Rattus norvegicus: one gene and its partner. The protein of the gene in region 1 purifies or fractionates together with the protein of each later gene. This does not show direct contact. Links are inferred from orthologs where the notes say so. Each region holds a gene or a part of one and is shown on either strand. Other genes may lie near its edges.

Region 1 (8,378 bases):
GGAGGCCACCTTGTCTGCTGCTGGGGTTCCCCCAGGGGTCCCTGCAGTTCCTGAATTATCACCATCTGCCTTGCTGGGACTGAATGTATTGGAAATATAGATCCGAAGTTTTCGCTTTTGCTAAAGAGGAAGAAGAGGCAGGACTGAGTGAGTAGCCATTTGTAGCAAGACACCACCTCAACGCATGCGAAACTGAGTGCGCTCTAGTGGATGGATGGCTCCCTGTGTGAGAAGTACTGCTCAAGCCCAAGCTCTTCCCTGGAAAACAAGGCCAGGGAGGAAAAATAGTTTGGGAGAACTTGGGGTAGTATATACCGTCAGAGGCTTCTTGATGGCCTCTTGGATCTCCATCCGCTTGCGAGCGATGGTCTGGTCCAGCTTCCTCTCGAAAGCTAAAAGATCCATGTATGCCTGAGACTCTGGGACAAGCTCCCGGATCTGCAGGTTGAGAAATCCAATGGCTTGCTTCACCAGCTCTACTTCTAACACTCTCCCTCCTTGCTCACTCCAGGACCCCCACCCTGGCCAGCCAGACCTGGGCAGGCCTCCGTAACACACTTACTCGCTGAGGTAGAACCTTATCTGCCATCTTCCTCCTCTTTAACCTAGTAGGAAAACAGAAACCCATTTAAGAATTTAACAGTCCAAACTCACTATCTTCAAAACCCTCTCCCAAATTGCCAAGAGTCTCCTTGTGGTCAAGGTTACCACCAGAGACGAGACAGGCAAGGTCTTACCCTCGGCGCTGGGCAGGCATCGGGGGCTGGGCCTGAGGCACAAGCAGGCGTTTTCGGAATGGATCCATCATGGTAGGTGGCATGCCAGGTCGAAGTGGAGCAGCTGTGCCAAATGGGGAACCAGCCGGAGGTCCCACCTGCAAGCCAGCCATGGGCATCCTACTTCCTGGGGACATGCCAGGTCGCTGGGGAAAGTGGAACAGTGGAGGGGCACAGGTCAGTGGGAGAGCCCTACGAGGTCCATAGCCCATACCCTCCATCTCCCTCTCACACGGGGAGACCAGGAACAAAGGGGAACAGGCGCCTGAGCCCAGCGTGTAAACCACACCTGCCCCGCCCCTGCAACCGCCCTGGCAGCCGTGCCAACAAATGAGGCAGCCGGAGTCCATGGGCGGGAGGAGAGTGCCTCTTGCAGAAGGCAGGACCTGGGGAATTTTTTAGGACTTATCAACACCTTTCCAGCTCCAATATGCTATGTCCTGCACCCTGGGATCGGCCAGCTTCAAGGTATTTATAGAGTCCCTAGATAGCCCCTAGACACCCCTTCTTCCTTTCCCCATCCTGAAGGAAAAACATTACTCGGGAGACCAGAGGCAATGCATAGCAACAGCAACCAGGGGAGTCCGGGAGGATGTAAACAGCCTGTGCCTGGTGGCATGACGGGAAGAAAGGCAGTAGGGATGGCAAACCATTAGGCAGCAGCACCTCAGGTGAGCAGTATAATGTATGGCTTTGCTATGTCACAACTTGTGGGGATGGCCTCAGGAGAGTATAGACACCATCTGGTCACCATATGGCCCCTACAAAACCTGAACCCGTTGTTGCCCCCCCCCCCCCATTGCCATGCCCCTATCTCTATGTCAAAAGACCCTCAAAAAGGGAAATTATGGTTCTTGGGTGGCCTATGGGAATGAGAACAGCAAACATCTGGCCTCTGCCCATGGTCTCGGCACCACCTGGCAGCCAGGCTGCTGCTGGTCCGACTTAACCCTAGCCAGCCCAAACTGCAGACTAAGACTGTCTGGGATGGAAGGACACAGAGTCACAGCAACAATCTGGGTGACACGAGTAGCTTCTTGACTTCCCATCCAAGGCCCAGTTTTCCAACCTTTCTGGGAGCCCTCCACCTCCCAGCTCCATGCACATAGCTGCTGCCTGAAAGGCCTGTTTGGCAGCTCTGCCTTGCACACACTGTCCCTGGCAGCTTCACAGGCCTGGCCCCCGGGGCCCAGGTTATGCAATCAATCAGTACAACCAGACAACCAGGCCAGCCTGGGTGGAGATTCATACCAAGTTAAAGGCCCACCCCCTAACCCCCACACCCAAGCATCCTGAAGATGAGTCTCTGCGACTTCTTTATCTGGCACTAAGGAGTCAGACTCATGACCAGTAGCAGAGGGAGGGGAAGAAACACGACCCAGAGACAAGGGAAAGGGGATAGGAGCAGAGCAAGGATACAGTGGCAATTGAGGAGTTAAAAGTGGGAGACCCTGGGACCTTGGGAGTCCTGCCACAAGTCTCTCCTCATCAGGAAGAAATTCATCAAAGCTGTTGAAAGGCAGAAGACAGCCTGTTTCTCTGCTCTAATAAGCCAGAGCCAGAGATTATAGAAGGGGGGAGGGGACAAAAGAAAAGCCTCAGGTGGCCGAAGCTCTAAGACCCCATCATCACCCAGACTTGAGGGTTCCCTAGAGTTACTGCAGATATATCTGAGGCGCTCTGGTCCCCCAAAAGCTCTCCACCAAGGTTCATAAAGCCTATAGCACTGCTGAGCCCTCCAGGAAATCCCCCCGCAAGGCAGCCCAGGCAGGCCTGGAATAGGCCCCACCCAGACATCTGTTCCCCACTTCTGGGGCTTGGGCTTCAGTCCCCTGGCTCACCCGCAGCCTCAGGGGAAGGCTGCTCACAATTCAAGTCCTAGTTTCTTCTTGTCGAGCTCTACACCTGGGCTTTGAAGAGCTGAGTAACTCCGACTTAAAAACAAAACAAAGTCACTGAAACAGAGTCTCAGCCTCTCGGCCAGCCTGCCCCACCACAGAGTACGAGGCCTGCTTAAGTCCCCAGGACTCCGGAATGCAGTAACTTCCACTTGGTCAAGCACCAAGCCCACCCTCTAGGCTAAATTTTATAACCACCAAGAAGATAAGGGAAGTAGGCTAGACCTCATCCTGCCAGCTCTGGGCTAAGAATCTAGGGCTCAAGTAAGCATGTTCTGCTCTCCAGAAAAGTCTGTAGCCGGGATCCTGCTAAGAGCTGCTTGAACCTCAGAGCCTCATTTGGAGGCCAGACCCTGGCCCTATGAACAGAGGGTACTTTAAACTCTGAGCTGAGTGAAGCCGGCAATAATGCACACTAGGCTTTCTGTTTTGGTTTTGATCGTGGTACTTTAAACCCTTCAGGCTGATTGTTCTCCAAAACTAGAAAAACCCTCTAGAGGTAAATGAGCTATCAATTTATGTCAGCAGCCTTCCCATGCCCAGCCTGAGCACACACATCCTTGCCCTTCCTGCTCACCCCCAAGAGCTCTAACCAGGAGGAGCCCCTTTGTCCTCAGACCCCAAGCCTTTCTGGAAGATGGACACCTGGAAGGGATGGGAAAAAGCAAGCAGGGTCTCCTTCAAACTCAACCCATGTTAATGGGGTTCTCCTTCCTCCTTTCCCTGTCCTTCAGAGGAGGAAGAGGAGGAGGGGAGGAAGACAAAGAGGAGGAGGAAGAGGTAACAAGATGCCAGACTCAAGGCCATCTCCTTTCTCACAACTAGTAGCCACAGCTATCCAGCTGGCCAGCCTGGCCTCAGCATAGGCCCAAGGTCACTCTCTACAAAGCATGCAGGAATCCATCTTCCCGTCTTCACAGGAACTTTCCCAAGGGTACTTCTCTGTCAGCTGCATGCCAAGGGGACTGGTCTACATAATTAGTTGCAGGACAGCCAGGGCTCAGAAAACTAACCAAACCAGATATCCCCAGTGTCTGTAGGAAGCTACCAGATCAGTTCTAAGCAAGCAAGACCAAGGGCTGGAATAACTGATGTCAGTACTCATCGGTGAGACACAAGGTCCATTAATCTCCAAAGAAAGCAACATGGGAAAGATAAACCCCAGAGAGTATCCTTGGGACCAAGTCTATCCCTGTTCATACCCAAACTCGTCATTTTCTTTTGAGATAGAAAGAGAAGCGAAGTGGGTCACTTATCCCAACCCTCAGTTAGGTATCTCCTCAGGAATCTGACTCCTGGGTATAATATGCATGCTCCATGAAGATCTATTTCTGAGACGTCTACCTGAGACACCAGCAGAGGACAGAGTAAGCTACACCTTCGGACCTTCGTGACTGCAGTCCCAGCACTTGAGAGGCAGAAAGAGTTCAAGGCCAGCTTTGGCTACACAGCCTAGACTATATGGGACCCTGTATCAAAAAGCAAGGACCAAAAGTGACAAGGATGTGGGAAAGGATGGACACAGTCCCAGGCACTCTGGGAAAGGTGCAGTTCACTGATAGCAATGATCTGCCTCGTGCAAAGCCTGCCCGGGGTTCCACCCGGTGCAGGCTCAGCACCGAAAGGAAAAGCAAAATGAAACTCCCAAATATCCCGGAGCAACTTGAACCAGAGCCCTGGGGTATGAGGAGGAGCCCCACATACAGAGTCCCGCTGGGTGAGTTCCCAGTGCACTGACCACAGGATCTTGTCTCTGCTTGTCAACGACCTTTGACGCAGCAACCTGAGACTGCTCTCTTCCCAGACAGAAGGGTCTTGAAGTACCCTATGCAACCCAAGACCAGCAGGACTCCACAAAGCCTCCCTGCTCCTCCAAACTTAACTACTGGACACTGACATCAGGAAGAATGCCCAGTACAGAGGATATCTAGATGGGTCTGTTAATGCGATCGGGCTTTCTTCAGACCTGGCCATCGCTATCTCTAATCTATCCTGGGAGTATCTGGGCTCCCTCCCTTTGGTCTCCCATTTCGTAGGAAGCCAGGCTTCAACTTGAGCAGCTGGGAGCCATCACAGATATACTAACTCTCTGCCAGTTCCCAACTAGGAAAAAAAACAAAAAACAAAACAGCCAAGGCAGAGATGCAGTGGGACCGACTCCAAAGAAAGAGTAGCCCTGTTTTCTCACTAACGACCCTCTTCCAAAATTTCCTCACCACATCCCGGGTCACTCCCTCACCTCTACTCCGGGACCTGCCTTACACTTTTCAACCTGATTGCCCACAATTCTCTAAATCCCACGAAGCCTCCATCTCTAAGTTACTCAATGCCAAGAACTCCCGGGACTCTTCTAACTGCTTAAGTCCTCCACCGCAAAGGGCTTTCACCCTTTCCCCAACATTGCCTCCAACCCCTAGCCACTAACCAAAGGACTCTGGCCTGCCTGCCACCAGCCCTCGACAGTTCCTCCTGCAGTGTCCCCTGGGCGGCCCGTCCTCACCTGAGGCCCCTGGGAGACCAACCCAGCGCCCTCGAGGCGCCGCCCGCCTGCCTTCCTCACCTGGTACTGCGCCGCGGGGCCCGCGGGGCCCATGGGGCGGAAGGCAGCGGCCCCCGGTACCCCCATGCCTCCAGAAGGCCCCGGGCCCCTGAGCGCCGGGTTGGGCAGCATTCCGGGTCCCGCAGGCGGAGGCGGCGCACCGAGGGCCGCGGCAACGGCGCCGCCGCCGGGGCTCAGCGGGGGCAGCGGGAACCCGCCCGCGCCACGGCCCGACATCACTCTGTCCCGTCCCGCGGTGCAGCGATCCGGCCTCTCGTCTCCGTGTTGAGTCCGCTCCGCGAGCTCTGTTCCGCGATCCGGGACTTTCCGATTTTATTACCGGGTTCCGGGATCTTCTATTCCAAGTTCGCAAGTTCTTCCCAGCCCAGCTTTAGGATCCGCAGCCCCTCTGACTCCGCTCCTGCCAGGGATACTCCAGATCCAGGATGTGCTGCAAGCCCGCAGGCCTCTCCCGGCCTCCGGAGGTTTGATCGCGGGAGTCCAGTTACCCAGAGGCGGTTACGAACTCCCAGCCCCGCCCAACCCAGGCCTCGGCAGGCCCCGCCCCTGCCCGGCAGCCCAATCGAGAGTGCGTCTTTAAATCCCGCCCTCGCGAGACCCGCCTCAAACAAGCACCGCCCATAACTGACGGCCTCAGAGCCCCGCCCTCTGGGACCGCCTTTTCCCGGAGGAGCGGGAGCGGAAGCTGCACGCGGAAGCGCTGAGAGAGGCGCGGGGTCAGAGTTCGAAGGTCACGTAGGGCCGTCACCATGGTTAGGTGTTTGCCGCTTACTCCGGAGGACTACTGTCTCAGCGAAATGTCCGACATAGCCCTCCAAAACAGTCAATTCCGCGTCTCCAGGCCTTAAAAATAAGCGATCCGGGGCTGGGGATTTAGCTCAGTGGTAGAGCGCTTACCTAGGAAGCGCAAGGCCCTGGGTTCGGTCCCCAGCTCCGAAAAAAAGAACCAAAAAAAAAAAAAAAAAAAATAAGCGATCCGCGGCGGAATGGCCGCCAAAAACTTTTTAAGAGCCTATCTCAGGGCCTGAGGAGCCAGGCCAGTAGTACAAGGCGTTCACCTTCCAGGACCCCACACCCACCCACCCATATTGATTGCTGAGCGCTTCCAAGGACATGGGCGACCCCAGATATGACCTAGCTGGGTTAAAGCTTGACTTGGTCCAGCTCAGAGTACTTACCGCACTAACTTTTCTGTGCCTTTAAGGAAGCCTGGTAATTTACTCCGCAGAAAATGTTTTTAGGTGAAGGGATTTCGCATGCTGAGAGAACTCCAGGTAGTGAAATAAGTTTTATCCAGTTTGTATAGGACCTAGTTTTTGAAAAGTTGAGAACCTTTTCAGAAACTCCTGGCTTCAGCTATGTTATAGACCTACCCCTCTGCTAATGTGGTACCTCCTCACTCACGGTATACAATCAGTGCTACTTAACTTCACTAGGCACTGAAAATCCTCAGAATCGGGTTGGGGGATGTAGCTCAGGTTATAGAGTGCTTGCCTAGCATACACAAAACCCCGGGCTTGAACCCCAGACTGCATAAACTGTCTGGTGGTACACGCCAAAAATCCCAGCACACAGGAGGAGGCAGGTGGGCCAGAAGTTCAGGGTCGTTCTCAGCTACACCTCCAGCCGATTCTACAGGAGACCCTATATCAAAAGAAATCTGAGCTTTTTGTTAAAATGTGGTTTATGATTCAATGAAATGGCAGGGTTCAAGATTCTGTATTTCTCTTTTGGTTCTTTGAGACAGGGTTTCTTTGTGTAGCCCTGGATGTCCTATAACTAGGTCTGTAGACCAGGCTGGCTTCAAACTCACAGAAATCCACCTGCCTCTGCCTCTGCCTCTGCCTCCCAAGTGCTGAGATTAAAGGCATGTGCCAACACTGCCTGGCTTCATAGACCACATTTTAAGTAGACTGGGCAGAGACTTTTTCATAATAAAAATCCTTCACTTTGTATTCCCAATGAAATGATTTTATATATATATATATATACATATATATATATGTGTGTGTGTGTGTGTGTGTGTGTATGTATATATATATAATGTTTATGTTATATATATGTTGTATGTTATATATGTTATATGTTTTTTTTTTGTTTTTTTGTTTTTTTTTTGGTTCTTTTTTTCGGAGCTGGGGACCGAACCCAGGGCCTTGCGCTTCCTAGGTAAGCGCTCTACCACTGAGCTAAATCCCCAGCCTGTTATATGTTTATATATATTTTATATATATATATATATATATATATATATATATATATATATAATGTGTGTGTGTGTGTGTGTGTGTGTGTGTGTGTGTGTGTGTGTATTCCCTCCCATCCCTGCTGGGAAAGGTAGAAAATGAACGTCCATCTCAGCCCTTTGTAACTGCACAAGCTCTCGGAGAAGAGTGGTGAAGAGTCAGGCTCCTCTGGGAACTTATTTCAAGGATCCCTGCCAGCCTTGTCCTTTACTCTGGCACTGTATTTAAATATAAACCACCAGTCTTCCTGGTCCTGTAGAAAACCTCAACAGTGGGGGAAAAGGCAGGTTAGCATTGCAACTGACAGGCCAACCCGAGCTCTAAGGTAACACATTACTTTTAAGAAATAAATCCAAAGGGACAAGTTCCAGCATGGGCCCCCGTAGTTCCTTGGTTAACTGTTTGGTGGGCCTAATGGTGGCCTTTTAGAGTCTACAAAAGAAAACAAGATAGCTCAGTGTGTTGCCTAGAGCAGACCTGCAAAGGATCATTCCTCAGCACAGAAGACCCTGAGAAGGCCAGAATTTCAGGGAAAGCAACATGGAGAGTCAGGTCACAGTGGAGGTATTTTCGGAGATGCTGGCACTGCTGATCCAACCTCTTTCAGCTGGAGCATCCAGGCAGCTGAAGGATGGATGCATCTGCCACAAGGATGTGGTGGTGAAGGTAGGCCCAGGGCACTAGCTAGACAGAGGAGCAAACAGTCTTAGCTAGCAGGAAAGAAATAGATGCTCTACTAAAGACAGAAAGGTCCTGAGCATCTTGTACCCATCCCTGATGAACTACTAAAAAAGACGATATAAAAACATTTCCCCTCTCAGAAAACGTTCCCCAAAAACTTGATCCTCGGAGTAGTGCTATTGGGAGGGAGTGAAGCTTTTGATAGGTCCTTAAGATCATA
Region 2 (7,648 bases), on another chromosome or scaffold:
CAAGTGCTGTCTGTCAGACAGGGTCTACCCAGGCTCTGTGGCCTGAGTGGTAGCCCATGCGTCTGCAGCTCAGGGAGAGTTAGGGATGGCTTGGGCATGTAGCAGACTACCTAGTCATGGAGGCAGGGCAGTTGACGGACACTGAGAACTCTGGAACCGTGCACGAAGATGGAAAGTCAGAACACGTGAGCGAGGAGCCTTCTGTGGTAACCGACCTGCCCCGTCAGCCCCAGACTGCGGAGGACAGAAGACTTGTTTCTGAGTCAGGCTGACTTACCGTGGAAATGTGGCTTGCAGGCTGCTGTGATTTTAGAATGACCCTTACTTACAAAGTATTCCCAGTTATAACTAATAAAAAATAAAGGAAAATCCTCCTTGCTTGCCAGTGTTTTTCTCTTCCTTTCAGGAAAACAAAGCAAAACAAAACAAAACCCTGAACGAACCCTCTTGCACTCCATTAGCAGAGGAGGCTGGCCGGCTCTCCAGGGTAGCCCCACCTTTTGCCAGAAGCTATGATGTAAACGCTAAAGTAAGCAATGGAAAGGTTACTGGAGGTTAAGTCATTCACACACTTCAGACAGGGACAGCCAGGACTCCCGGCTGGGAAGATAATTTGCACAGCATGAACCCGGTGCCCTACAGCCAGAGGGAGGGGTGTGGGTACCAGGGGGAACAGGCGATGTGACCTAGGTCTGGTGACTGGAAGTCAACCGGAGGGCACCTTTGCTTACAGCGCCACCGGTCTCATTTATCTTCCTCTGAGGATTCCCTAGTTGGAAGCAAGACAGGTTTTGTGACATCACTTGTCAGCTGATAATAAAAATGCAGCCAGCCACCTGCCAACAAAGATGGATGGGTTTTGGGTTACAAACTTAGTAGCTGAAAGTAGTTTTCTTGTCTGCGCCTGCCCCACCTCAGTGCCATTTCCCCAAGTCTGCTGGGGACACCTGCTGTTGACTAAACTTCTCCACTAACTTGGGGAACCTTAGGGATCAGACTACATGCTAACCCCCGACAGAGCTAATTCAGGGGTGCATCTGTTTGCAGAGTGCCCTCTGTGGACTAACTGCAGAGATGAAGCAGGACTAGCTCCAAGGCTTGACGGAACTTAACTTTAGATTCATAAAGCCACAGCAAATCCAGGCTGGCTGGAGACGCAACAATGTGGAGCTCTCTCAGAAGAAAGACACATGATCTAGGAACATGTGACTCAGTGAAGAACAATCTAGAAGACTCACTGGAGATCTTTGCTTTAGTTTGCCTTAATGTGCTGGTTAAAGAAGGTTTAACTGCAAATTAACTTTAAGAGTTTTCTTTCTTTTTTTTTTTTCTTTTTTTTCTTTTTTCTTTTTTCCAGAGCTGGGGACCGAACTCAGGGCCTTGTGCTTGCTAGGCAAGCACTCTACCACTGAGCTAAATCCCCAACCCCAAAAGTTTTATGTTAAAAGAGACCAAGAAAACATCTTGGCACAATGGCAAGGCAGGGTGTGGAGCCAGGGAGGCTGTCTGATGCTTGCAGGGCTGCTGCTGCTCCCTGTCCCCTGCGTGGGCTGTGTGTATGGTGTCTCTGCAATGAACGCTGACCTCACAGTCAACACCAGGAAGCTTTGCTCCTCCCACTCTCCCCAGTCACAGCAGGACCTTGGCTGCATCTGCACCAAGAGGTACAGCTCCCAGCCTAGTTCTGCTGTGCAGTTGAATGACAGCATTGCCATAAAGGCAGCTGTTCTAAGCTGGGGAGAGGAAGGTGCTGGCCGTTCAGAGAACCAGCCTCCACTTTCTGCAGGATCTGTGCCTCAGCAGGGCTTTCTGTTCTGAGACTGAGGCATGCTGGGAGAGCTATTCTCCACACACGAGTGCAAGCCATTTGGGGACACAGGGTCTTTCCTGACAAATAAAAACATCTTTAGATCTTTGCAGACATCACTGCTTTGGACCCTGTACCCCGGTAGGGTGTTATTTTGGAAGAACAGTTCAGGGCTGTTCACAGATCACTTCTTTCAGTCTGTGAACTGAATGTAATGTGTGCTTTTTAGAATTAGCCTGTCCCATGTTCAGGTATGCCCCAAGTGGTCAACGTTTGGGATCATTAAGGGTGAGGCTTTCTAGGAAGATTTCCTTCTTAGAACTGGACCTCTATCTAAGGATTGGCAGGCAGTGTACGGCTGGTTGCTCTTGATGCTGACAAGTCAGCAGAGAATCATTAGAAGTGAACAGAATTCTTTCTTTGGCTTCTGGATGTCAAGAGTGGACCTATTTCAAAGGCATTTCTTTCTAGGCTAAGGTGAATTCAGAGAACAACGCATGGTCAAATATCCCCAAGTAGGCCTCTTGCAGCCCCACTGGGTAGCTTTGGGTTCCTTATCTGCCTTTGTTCTCTTGGGGACATGTAAACTGCACCTGCATCCCGGGAATGAGACACTGTCTATGCTCAACAAACCTGGGCTTTCAGTTGGCCTCAGGACAGGCCCCACCTTATATAGAAATGGCAGGAGTGTCACCATTGCTGCAGGTAAGTAGCCTTAAATGGGATCTGTGATGACCAGTGACTAGAAACCAGAAATGGTGGGGTTTACCTAAGTGAGCCTACCACACAGACCCAAGCATGGGTCCAATTTCCCTGTCCCTAACACTGGATTTGCCAGCTCACAGTATGTGGTAACTTCACACTTTAAAGTCTAAGGGAGGGGGTAGGCCAGAGGAGAGCATGAAGAGTGACCTTATCCAACTGTGTGGGTGGAGTGGCAGGAAGGAGCTGCTTACAGACATGGTCCCCACGATGGCACCTGCCGGCCTTTGCTATAGCACTGACACGGATTCCCTTCAGGTGAGACCTTGCTGGACAGGAAACAGCAGAACCTAAGTCCAGATTTTATTTTATTTTTCCAAAGTACAAACTGGAGTGGCCCAGACAGAAGAGGTGGGCCTGAAGGTGGCGCCACCCAGACTGTAAAACACCAGAATGGGGTTCACAAAGATGTCTCCTATCCAGAGAGAGGGGATATTTTTCAATCCTGTATTACATACAAAGGCATCTGACTCAGGACTCTAAGGTCTACTCTGATGAGAAGAAAGAAGGCAGGTGTGCCCCGCTTCATGCTCTAACAGGGAGGTGGCACTCCATCCTTCGGGGAGGGCCTGAGCCTGGTCCCAGGGCAGCTGCTCAGGCTGCTGTAGCACTGTCACTTACCAGGAGATGGCGGCTGGAGCTTGGGCTGCTTCTTCGCATCCCCCGTGCTGAAGACTTCAGGCGGGGGCTCCTCCCCACGCTCAATTTTGCACTCGAAGGCGAACAGGTACTGAATATATTGCTTCTTCAGGGAGCTGGCTGCGCTGCTCGAAGTGCCAACGTTCAGGTTGGTTGCCAGCTCACGCCACTTCTTGTTTTTATTAACCTAGCAAAAAAACGGACAGGATGGTTGGTTCGCAGCAAAGTGGCTTGTTTAAAGCTGGGAGACAAACAAGCACTTCATGTCTTGGCTTACTTTTTTCATTTGCCTCTTTTAACTAATGCTCATCACTCCCACTCAGCAGCACACAGACAGCATTTACAGCTATAAAACCATTAAGGAGCCTGCTGATGGTGACATAAACGCCCACTTGCTGGGGTCTTCTGCCCGCTACATCTCCTATAGACTTGAGTAAGAGCTTCCTCATTCTGAGCCCCAGGATGAATGGAGAACCCAACACACACACACACACACACACACACACACACACACACACACACACACACACAGAGAGAGAGAGAGAGAGAGAGACAGACAGACAGACAGACAGACAGACCAACCCACCCTGGCTACCGTCTCCCATGAAGCCATCCTTGAGGATCCTTGTGGGATGGGCACAGAAGGTGCCCCCTGCTACTGGCTGGAGTATGGGCCAGCAGCTGAGTAGCTGGGACACAGGTTTGTGTATGTCCTATAGGGTTTTTATCAACGTTCCAGGAGAAGACGTGTGTGTGTGTGTGTGTGTGTGTGTGTGTGTGTGTGTGTGTGTGTGTGTGCGCGCGCGCTGGGGGAAAGCATTGCTTCAACTTTCTCATTTTTACCTAGAATGGGTTATGAGAACTTAAAGTCATGAATGAAACATGAACACACAAATAACTCAGGAAGACAGAAGCTTGTGCCTTTGGATGGGTGCTATGTTGAGTAGCTTGTAATGGTGATGAATTAATGAATTTCTGGATCCAAACTTTGGCATGAGGCTCTTTACATCCATTCACTTAGTACTAAATAGTCACAACAATAAACACACTGCTTGATTGCTCTGGGAAACACCTCTTTCAGTACTCAGCGGAAGTGGGTACAAACAGCAGGCCACGGTTGCTTCAGAGATGGCCAACCTGAGTGCTAGGATCTGAGCTGTCAGGGAAGTTTGTTGGGTGGAGGGGTGTACCATTGGTAATAGCAATACCGTGAGTGTCCCTGGGGTGTGCACTGGCTAAGCTGCAGAGTTGCTTGTGTGCTGGTGTAATCTGCTTATACACACTGTTGTGACTCAGGGAGCCAGACCAGAGCAACACACATCACCGATGACTGGATGCTAGTGTTTTAGTCTTGGAGATTTGCATTAGAGTTTAGCCTAGAGGAGGTGAGCAGAGTGGGAGGAGCAGAGGCAGTAGGGAGATGGGGAGAGGCGGTCCACCCGGCATGTGTGATGTATGTGGGACGCTGCAGAGTTAGACCAGAGTTCTAGTGGATCTAGTTATAGGCCTCAGTCCTCGGGGGGTGGGGTGGGGACTAGTAAAGGTGTGCCCTGCACCCCAGAACCACAGAACTGGGACACTTAGGGTGACAGGTTACTTTGGCGAGGTGTTTGCTGCCTCATTCCAACTGCCTCTTAGGCTTCTGGGGACCAGCTCTACAGCATTGATCTAGGGCTGGGATCTGGATGGTTACTCTTTAGAAAGTTCACAGGCCATCCCTAGTCATGGCAGGAGCCATGGGAACAGCTCATGTTTGCCATCGGTTGGTTCTGTGGCTTCTATTGCAATTTACTTAGTTATATATGAGTTTCCTCATGAATTCTTGGGGTTAGTGACCTGTGCCTTATAAGTAAACCCAGATAAAGGCCATGGTGAGGTGAGGTACATCCCCACTTCAACCAACCCCTCACTGAAAATAATGGTGCGAGCAAAGTAGAGTGTTAAGGACACAAGGACTCGGGGACACTCTGACGGGCAGCAAGCAATGGCCGTGTCTCTTGTTTTTGTTGTTTTGCACAGACAGAAAATGAGCATCGCCTTGAGTTCTATACCTGGGTGTGTGGCCTACTCAGCCAGCCCCCAGCTCTGTGGGTGAGCACAGTACCGTAGTCATGCAGGGCTGCAGGTTTTACTCTTACAACTGGATCGCTCTCTCTCTTTTCTTTTGAGGCAGGTTCTCACACAGCTGCGGCTAGCTCTGAACTCCTGGCTTTCCACCTTCCAACTATGGAAGCCCCACTATACACAGTTTGAATTTATAAATTGCTCTGGATATAGAAAAATAGTGAATTTGATTTTTATCTGGTCCATGATGAATTAGTCATTTGTAAAACACTTCTGGAGTATTTACCATGAATCTGTAGCAGATTCCAGAGAATTCTACAGCTGCCTGGGAAAAAGAGGTCTAAGGGTCTAGTACAGATGAGGGCATTGAGCTGTGACTCTGCCACAGGAGTTGCTGGCAGTTAGGAACTGTAGCTCTCTCTGACAAACTACAGAGTCCTAGGAAGGGACTGTGCTACAGGCTTAGCTTTTCCTCTGTGAGAGAAGTCAGAACCAAATACAACATCCAGAGCTGAACAGCACACCCAAAGGCCTGCCTCCAGCACTCCACCCTCACTCAGACTCACCTGCGCCAAGCCTCCGATCTCTTTGACGCACACATAGAGTCGGAACAGGTCCAGGGGCTTCTTGCCCACTGCCGGCAGACTGGACACGGGGGACCCCCTCTCCTCCATGAATGTCAGGTAGCGGTCGACCCACAGCTTCCTCTCCGGCTCAGTCCCCAGCTCATACACTTTTGTGATCTTCTCCCCAGTGGTGGAAGAGGAGCTGGACTTCTGGTGTCAGGAGGAGGTGGTGGTGGGCACGAGGGGTGGGAACGGGGTGGAGGGGAGAAGGGCCAGAGAAGGGCAGTGAGTTGGCGAGCATAAGAAAATACACTTAAAGCTGCTGCCATCACATATCAGCAACACAACACAGGCTAGAGTTCAGGCACAAGCTCTGCGTTTTCCTAAGTGACATACTGCGACTTTAAATAAAAGGACCCAGACTCTTAATTTAATACCTAAACCAAGTAAGCTGAAATAGGCATGTTGATAGCAGTGCTGAATCCAGGAGACCAGACTCCATTGACGTCTTGTGTGCTTTGGAAAAGAAAAGGCTAGCAGCCCAGAGAACAGATGCCTGTGGTCAAACTTCTCATGCCTGATGTTGGAGTTCCCATCACCAAGAAATACATTCCTACTTTTTTTCCTCAAAATAAAAATGATTAAACATGTCCTTATGAAAACACAGGTATCTACTTGGTGCTTGCTGCAGAATGGGGCGGGGCAGGGGGAAGGAGGAAAACCACAGACAGGAGACAGGTATGTCTCCAAGTAGGTGGGGTTTGGAGCCACTGGGGAGCTAAGGCTGTGTCAAGAGACAGCCAGCTCTCCCTACATAAAGTTTATAGCTTCTCAGCGTAACTGAGACAGGTGCCCCTGTACCAGTGCCTACCATTCTGGAAGCCACACTCCAGGCTTGGCAAGTAGCAGTTTCCTATTTCTGGCTATTTTCTGAAGCCATTCTGCATGGAGTGTTAATCCCTCAGATCACTGAGGCATAGAATATGTTTACATAAAATATATAAACATGGGTGACCTGAGCCCAGGGGTGTAAGTCTGTTCTCCCAGCTACTTGGAAGCTGAGGCAGGAGGATCACAAGTTTGAGGCCAGACTGGACAGTTTACTGAGTCCCTGTCTCAAATTAAAAGAAGATAAAGCAGGGAAAGGGGGTGGGAGGGCAGAACCTAGTGCTAGTGTCCAGCAAGGTCTAAATCCAGTCCCCAGTCCTGAAGGGCAGGGTGGGGAGGTGACACAGTTAGAATGGTAAGGAAAGCTTTTAAGGGTTAACTTCAGAGTTGAACTTAAACTTCAAGTCCTTTAGAAATTACTTTAGATAAGAATTACTTAAGGTGTTTGTGTACATATGACCACTGAGTCCAAAAGTAGGGTATGGATGACCTGGAACTGGAGTTATAGGCAGTTGTGAGCCACATGACCTGGGCCGTAGCTACTGGGAGTAGAAACTGGGTCCTTGGCAAGTACAGCATCTAAGTCGTCTCTCCAGCTCAAAGATGACAGTTCTTGTCCCTCTTCCCTTTTTCCCAAAGCAGTTCACATAGCAGAAGCATGTAGGTGCCTGTGCTAACCCAGGAGGCCTGCTGGCTAATCTACACCCAGCTCAGTTTTCCCCAGCGTGGGCCGGAATGCTCCTTTGCAGTGCTGTCTACAGTGGGCTGACGACTGCTCTCCCACCTATGAGCCAGGCTTGTTGATTCTGCGTCCACTCAGCACAGCACCCTTCACACTAATGGTCTTAGACATGTTCTATCAATGCTTGCACGTAGTTAAAAAAAATGCATGAAAGTTCTGACTGTGCTCAGGTTAAGAATT

Evidence for each region. Proteins that work in one complex are often made in the same cells at the same time.
Region 2: the proteins of Smarcd2 (region 1) and Arid1b purify together in Homo sapiens (affinity purification with mass spectrometry; 5 studies listed by BioGRID and IntAct, with this or other methods). This does not show direct contact. The link is inferred for Rattus norvegicus from reciprocal best matches to the Homo sapiens genes SMARCD2 and ARID1B.

Annotation. Positions count from the first base shown.
Region 1 is NC_086028.1:91,696,874-91,705,251, forward strand, and holds the start of Smarcd2 (SWI/SNF-related matrix-associated actin-dependent regulator of chromatin subfamily D member 2), read right to left. Parts: upstream 5,536-8,378; 5' UTR 5,451-5,535; coding exon 5,235-5,450; intron 923-5,234; coding exon 738-922; intron 606-737; coding exon 563-605; intron 439-562; coding exon 316-438; intron 121-315; coding exon 1-120. UniProt on the Homo sapiens protein: Involved in transcriptional activation and repression of select genes by chromatin remodeling (alteration of DNA-nucleosome topology).
Region 2 is NC_086019.1:48,301,198-48,308,845, reverse strand, and holds part of Arid1b (AT-rich interactive domain-containing protein 1B), read right to left. Parts: intron 6,049-7,648; coding exon 5,839-6,048; intron 3,396-5,838; coding exon 3,191-3,395; intron 1-3,190. UniProt on the Homo sapiens protein: Involved in transcriptional activation and repression of select genes by chromatin remodeling (alteration of DNA-nucleosome topology).